2 linked regions of the Caenorhabditis elegans genome follow. The protein of the gene in region 2 interacts with the protein of the main gene of each other region in a pairwise test. Each region holds a gene or a part of one and is shown on either strand. Other genes may lie near its edges.

Region 1 (3,756 bases), on a different chromosome or scaffold from region 2:
CCATTGATATCACGATCACCAATAGAATATTTAGTGACAACTGCACAAATTGCAATCTTTTCCTCATTTAATCTCGGAGATGAAGCAATACTGTAGTAACGGGCTTGAAGACGTGGAAGAAGTTCAAGAAGATACTCAATTGGTGGTTTACATGTCTTTTGATCAGTCAATACATCGACAATTGAACGACGCTCTTTGACAATGTATCTGGCGTACTCTTTCTGAAAAAAATTCAATTACTTCAAAATTAAAATTTAAAAAAACTCACCAAGCCCTCCTCATTGGCAGTTGATAACTTATTAAGGAATTCCTTTTCAGTATCATCCGTACAATATTCACTGATTGCTTTGAGCACATGAGATTTGACTGGAGCACAAATATCAACATAATGAGAAAGAGCAGTTCGGAATGTGGTTGGGCATGGGAATGGATGACGTTTTGATGCATCTTCATCAACGTTCACAAGACGGAATGCGTGATCAGGATCGAATTGAAGCATATTAATGAGACGATCAACAAGAACTGGATCATTTGTTGGGAAGACAGCCAGATGATCTCCTGCTTCATAACGAATACGGGATCCTTCAACAGAGAACTCAATATGTCTACAACTACGATCAGAATGTTCGGTATGAAGTTCATCATTGATCGCAACAGTAGCCAAATATGGATTTTTGACATCAAATGGTGGACGTGGACGTTCATAAGCTCCAAGTCGTCCAAATTCTCCCTTGAAAAGAGCTTTTCCTTCTTCAACTGGTTCCAATTGATATTGTCTCATTGTCTCGGCCTCTGTGTTCAACTCCCATCCAAATTCTTCAGCAACTTTTGGCAAGAAAGCTTCTCTCCAAATCATAAAATCTTCTTCAAGATTAGCATCATCATCTCCTAATCCCAAATGAAAGATTCTCTTGGCTCCAAGTTTTTCAAGTTGTTTGTCCATTTGAATTCCAATCTCATTAAAATGTTCATAAGTCTTATTTCCAAGTCCAAAAACTGCAAATCGAACACCCGACAGATCACAGTCTCCAGCATTCAAATATTCAACAAGTGTCACTGCATTATCAGTTGGATCTCCTTCTCCATATGTGGCAATGCATAGTACCAAAAGAGCATCCTCAACTTCACTCAAACGATTCAAATCTTCACATTCAATATCTTCTGGATCAACGACAACAGCCTTCTTGGTGTAACGAGTAAGATCTTTAGCAAGACGTCCAGACATTTCTTCAGCTGTTCCAGTTTGAGATCCGTACATGATAAGCACCTGAAATTAGAGAATTTTGATTCTATTTTCTTTAAAATTCCATATCAATTTACCTGTCGGTTCTCATTTTTCATTCGATCAATGAATGATTGATTCGATTTCGAAGCCGCAGCTGACGTGGTGACCGATGCTACGGTTGGCGAGTATCTGAAATTTTAATTTCAAATGTAAAAAAAATAATTTTCTGCATTTATTTTTAAAGTACCTGCTAGACGATGGTTGCTGATTGAAAACCTTCATGAAAAGGAATATAATTGCTCCACCAGCGAGCAGAGTGAGCACCACAAGGTCTGATGTGTCGAGACCCGACACAATCCACGCCAGCATGTTTAGAATGAGAGTTTCTGAAATTAAAGAATTATTTGAAAAGGAAGAGGGAGATATTGAAAAAGTAAATAAATAAGAAGTTATAGTTTAAACATGTTTTAAAATATTGCCGCTGAATTTTGCGATGTTTGCGCCGAGAAAATGACAAGTTTTTGTTAAATGCGCGTGCGCCTTTAAAAAGTACTGTAATTTCAAACTTTCGTTAATGTTGAATTTTAATTGATTTTCCATAGTTTTTTAAGTTTAATTTTATGTGATTTTTATTGTTTTCATGCATTTCTTTATTTTTTCAATAAATAAATAGTTTTTAAACAAAAATGTGTTTTTTTTCTGTTTTCAGGTGATTTCAGGTACTTAGAAAAATCCCGAATCAAACGAAAACAGAGGAAAACTCTGAAAAATTGATTGAAATGGCGCAGAAACGTTAGTTCGAAACTACAGTACACTTTGAAGGTGCACACCTTTTTGTATTTATCAAAAATTTGGCGTGTTGAGACTGGGTCCAGTGTTTTTGGCGCAAAAACCACAAGTTTGTCGCACTAAAATATATGTATTTTGAGAAATATCTGAATTTCTATCATATAACTGTAATAAATAATTTTTTACAAAAACAATTTCAACTAAAAACTTAATTTGAGATACGATTATCGTATAGCAAATTCAGTGAGTCTTTTTTCAAAAAAAAATGTACAGTCAATTTGTGTGAATGAATGGGAACATTAGACATATTGTTCTGTCTGTCCCCTTAATTTGGTCTTACAGTTAAAGAAAAAGAAGAAAAAACAAAAGCTACAGAAGAAAAATCGAATTAAGGGAGGGAGGTATATTGAAATAAACAAAGATACGCCGTGAGGAAAAGTTATTAGTGAAAAGAAAGTTGTATTTGCCAAGAAGGTGAGTATTTTATAGAAGCAGATAGTCAGAGAGTTTGCATCATTTTTTGAGGTTTGTGATCGACACACATAAAATATGATTTGGTGGTCGAAGAAAGATACTTCGAGAACACAAAATTTGTCAGACTTTGTATTGACACGTAGACTAGAGTACTGTTTAGCCAAAATTATCTTCTGAAAACAAAACTTCTAAAAACTATGTAATCTTAAAAAATTTCAGACATTTTGCAAGTACAGTAGGAAAATGCTTAAACAAAACTAAAACAAGGAGTCAGGAAAAATTGAAACAAAAAAAAACTGCGGCACAATATCTGATATAACCCAAGTAATTTTACGGCACAAATACAGTACCCAAGGTCTCGACACGACGAATGTTTGTTAAATATGAAAACACGTGCGCCGTTAAGGAGTACTGTAATTTCAAATTTTAGTTGTTGTTGAATTTTCATAATTTTCATCTCGCTATGTTGAAATTTGAGTTTTTAAAATAAATATATCTATTTTTTATCGAAAAACTTCGAAAAATTGTGGGAAATTCCGCAACAATGAAAATTTGAAGATACAGTACTCTTTCAAGGAGCACGACTTTCTACATTTTACAAAATTTGTTGTGTCGAGACCGGGAGCAATATTTCTGAAAATTAAATATTACTTGGTCACAAAAGAGAGTCAACTTTTGTAATAGAAATAAAATAAAATTGGTTATTTCCACTATTACAAGACTTTCAGAAATAATTAGTCGCCAAACGATTGTTTCAGTCAAAAATAATTTCCTAATTTGAATTAAACGTCAATTCAAGTCATGCGATGAAATAAATGACTGGTGAATAACTGTTGAAATTCAAAGATTGTCTGGTTAGGTTTAATCATTGATAAGAATTGAATTGAGAATTAGAGAAGAAAAGAAATTGCGAATTTTGTTTTTAAGTTGATAAGTCAAATAGATATGGACTGATTACACCGTCAAGCATTTTCTGTAGTTTATGTCACTTTTATCACATTTTGACAAAATTGGATGTTGTGTACGAAAACCACACGCAAAGTACGGTTTTATCAAACGAAAATGCGTTTTCTACAAAATTTGAAGTTCAAATGGAAAATCATAATTGTTTGCACGTAGTTTTCAATCAAAATATATCGTCACACTTGAGTTAAAAATTGAATTAGGCCCGATACAATGAACGGTCAGTCATCGAAGTCGACGTACATAGGGGCGCAGACAACACACACATTGAAGACGTGGAGGATTTCATTTTTTCCGGTTTTAAT
Region 2 (3,756 bases):
CCACCACCACCTCGTAGATCACTTAGATAGTTTTCTCGATATTCTTCAGTTGATTTTGTTCGCTTCTACACTTTCCTTCTCACCACGTATATATATATATATATATAACAATAAATACACTAACTTCTAGGTTTGCTGTGTGCCGTGTGCTTTTCGTTTTATAGTTTTTTTGTTGTTGGTTTCTGTTGGCTAAATTCATATTCTAATTTACTCAAATCTAGCTCCAATGTGTGCTCTTCTTGGCTCAACAGAGAGCAACTCGACGACTACAACAACTCAGCCATCATCTCCAATTACTCCATATCGACGAAGAAGTATGTTCCGCGCGGGTGGAGCTCTTCAAAGGAATAGCCAAGACTTCACAGCACTACGGTATGTAACAATTTGACGGACATCAGCTATAATTCTCACTTCACGTATTTTCAGAAACCGCCGTATGTCTTCTCCCAACAACCCGTCAATTCTTCTAAATAATTGCGACATTCAACTGCTCAAGTTGACGTCTCAATTGAGCCCCCTCGAAGATCAAGTCAAACAGAATCGAGTGCCAGGACGAGCGCATCAGCAACGGCGAAGCATAACACTTTTAAATTTTGATCATCATCATCGTGCACGATCGCCCACGACTTGAGGTTAATGGTGCTAATAAATTTTTATGAATTAAAAAAAAAAATTACCTTCAAAATTCGGTGTTGGAAGTGTTGCAGGGTAGCCTGGAGCGTTCGGGTTGTTTGGAGTAGAATGTCCAAAACCGGATCGCAGATGAGGAGTGAACGGTGAGCGGCTATCAATTTCCGAGCTGATCACTTCGGAGAGCACATTTTCTGGAAAATAATTATGATTTTTTGTTGAATATAAATTAACTCGGACTTCCACACTATATCATAATTGAAAATATTTATTTTTTAGTTTTTAATCACAACTCTTTCTAATTTAACATTTGATTTTTTTAGTAGTTTTTGGGGAAAATCGAATTATTTCCTGTTCGAAACGAGGTTTTTTTGGTTTTTAACTTAAATCACTGTAAATTAACTAAATATTGACGATTTGAATGTCTGATACAATACGAATAATATATTTATCCAAAAGCTCAAGTTTTCAAAAATTACCGGCGGGAGAGTTGAGTGTCGGATCAAAATGCGTAGTTCTGCCGGCAGAATTCGGCGCCAAACTCGACGCGAACATTGTTGAATCAGACGGTCTTCTGAGTGCTTCAACGTATCGAATCGCTGCGTGAACTTCCTGTTCTTGTGTCTCTCGTGCCATATAAATCCGATGCGTCTTCTCCTTCTGATCATAGACAACAACGTAATTTTGCTGAGCGTCAACGAGTCCAGCCTCGTCTCGATGCGATTGCCAACAGAATTTCCATTGTGGATGGTAGCCGCTTGTCTTGTAGATAACCGGGAGAAGCTCGCCGAATGGACCGGATAGCGAGTAGAGGTGAAATGTGTCGTGATGGTGGAAGGTTTGTTCGCTGGATGAATCGTAGAACCGTTCGACCAGAAGACTTGTCGAGCAGGAGAACACGTTGCGAAGCTGGAAATATTTGAAATTATCAGAATTTCAAACTAAATTCTCACCTTAAAAGGAATTTCATAGTGATAGAAATGATAGTCGGGAAGCGATATGAACTGGAGCTTATGCTCACCGCACACAACCAAATAATCCCGATGCTTCGTATCAGGTCCACCACAATTCTCAGTTGCCAACTTTTCAGCGTTTCGAGTCACAATGAACGAGTGGAAGAACACTTTTTTGATATCAAACTCCATTTTGAACCGTCGTTTAATCATCTTCCGTCGCGTCGTTCCATCACAAATGAGAATAATTGGACCCGATGTGAAGACAAAATCCGTGGTCTTCTCCTTGTTTCGAAACGCGCAGACCACTGTATCCTGGGTGAAGAAATCCTGAAAATTTAAGTTTACTTTTTTTAAATTGTTAATTATCTAAAAAAAATTACCTTTCCAATTTCATCTCCCAGCTGAATATCAAACTGTTTATTAGCAGAGATCATATTTTTCCAATGGCAATCATCAAATTCTTCACTCATACAAGTATAATTCGAATTTGAATGAAGCTGAAAATCCTGTTTTAAATAGTAAAATTATTTTGGAAGTATGAAAAAGATTTGAAACAAATTATAAAAACGAATATATGGCGAATATATATATACAGAACAAGTTTTACTTTAGAATCCTTAAATTCGGATAACAGATAAAATGTTAATTGATACATTATCAGTAGTTCAGTAGGTCAGATCATGATGAAATATTTAGAATTACAGGTTATCAATATTCAGATCGAAGTTGTTCCTTCCTCCTCCTTTTCTTTCTTCACTGCTTGATTGTCAGTTGGAGCATCCACTGCTCGTTTTGCTGGACGACGAACCTGGAAATTTGTTAATTGAATATTTAAAAAGTCTACGGGAAGTTAATTCAAACCGTACCAAGCTAGAAATATCATTTGCTTCCTTCTGATCACCGGCTTCTTGTGGAAGTTTTGCCAATACTTGTGTGAATCCTTCGAATTGCGCTTTAATGGCCTTCTTAGTTTCCTCAACTTGTGCTGCAGAGTGCACAGCATCAGCAATCATTTCTTCAACGCCTGGCATCATCTCTTCAAGCTCCTTCAGCTCATTCTCAAATTCAGACTTCTTTTCCTTATCATCAACACCTCTTTCCAGCTCATGCTTCAACTCAGTCTGCCTGGCGATGAGTACGTCCTTGGTTTTGCCGAAGTACTGAACGGTTTCATCGTAATTCGCATCGCTAGCACACGCGTTTCCGATGAGAATGTAGGTTTGGGCGATTTTTCTCGACGACGGTGGAAGAACATTGCGCTGAATGTTGAGGGCACGATCCAAGTCCTCAAAAGCCTGAGTATACTTTCCATCTGATATTCCGTGCTCGCCGAGGAGAACCAGTACATCAGCGAGTTTCAGGTTCCATTCCTCAATGGCACTGATTCCACTCTGCTCAGCTTCTAGAGCTTCGATTTTGGCAGCGGCAATACAACGAGCTGTCTGAAAATAATCACAATTAAGCATAAAATCATTGAATAAAATAAGAAACCTCAAGAATTTCCCATGATAATTTCATGGTATCATCATCATCGTCCTCTTCTTCACCGGATTCCTCTCCGTCCTCCTTCTCCGTTTCTCCATTCTCTTCGTCAGTCTTGTCATCAGAATTTCCAGCTTGCTCCTCATCTCCGCTTTCCTTCTCACCTGGACCTTTCAGAAGTTGGCTCTCCTCCTTCGCCAATTCCAGTGTGGCCATGCCATAATAGTAAAGAGAATCGAACGTGTTTTCATGGTTTTCTCCATAAATTTCGGAGCTCAGTTCAGTAGCCTCACTCAACGAATCCGATGCTTTGTCGATATCGTTAACTTTCAACGCACGGCGTCCAGCTGCAAGCAACTCGGCGAGACGCTTCTCTCTGGAATACGAAAAGTGATTTTATTGATGATATTCTGCAGCAAAAGTTTACTTCTGCTCGACAGTCTCTTCTTCTGTAGTAGTCCCGTTTCCTTTTTCATCTGAATCTCCTGAAGCATCCTTCACACGAATATCAGAGGCGTCGGCGATGTTTTCAGTGTCCATTTTCTGATTTGTTAATATCTGAAAATAAATACTATTCGATATATATTCAAAATTCAATAAAAAGCGGATAAATTCAAATGAGTATAATAGCGCGGGAGAGCCTAGAAACCGAGCGTTGCCTAGTCCACTAAAAACCGGCCATACGGCG

The links. The genes of interacting proteins can lie anywhere in the genome.
Region 1: the proteins of apc-1 (region 2) and emb-8 interact in a two-hybrid assay, tested with the Caenorhabditis elegans proteins (one large-scale study listed by BioGRID).

What each region holds. Positions count from the first base shown.
Region 1 is NC_003281.10:5,198,067-5,201,822, forward strand, and holds the start of emb-8 (NADPH--cytochrome P450 reductase), read right to left. Parts: upstream 1,612-3,756; 5' UTR 1,595-1,611; coding exon 1,473-1,594; intron 1,415-1,472; coding exon 1,321-1,414; intron 1,268-1,320; coding exon 269-1,267; intron 222-268; coding exon 1-221.
Region 2 is NC_003280.10:11,106,488-11,110,243, reverse strand, and holds the start of apc-1 (Anaphase-promoting complex subunit 1), read right to left. Parts: upstream 2,084-3,756; 5' UTR 2,021-2,083; coding exon 1,967-2,020; intron 1,914-1,966; coding exon 1,584-1,913; intron 1,540-1,583; coding exon 1,110-1,539; intron 825-1,109; coding exon 678-824; intron 674-677; exon of another isoform or gene 632-673; coding exon of another isoform or gene 427-631; intron 373-426; coding exon of another isoform or gene 222-372; intron 1-221. Other genes in the region: glb-4 (GLOBIN domain-containing protein), read left to right, coding at 222-372, 427-631; nasp-1 (Protein NASP homolog 1), read right to left, coding at 2,302-2,394, 2,453-3,028, 3,078-3,444, 3,496-3,608. UniProt on the Caenorhabditis elegans protein: Probable component of the anaphase promoting complex/cyclosome (APC/C), a cell cycle-regulated E3 ubiquitin ligase that controls progression through mitosis and the G1 phase of the cell cycle.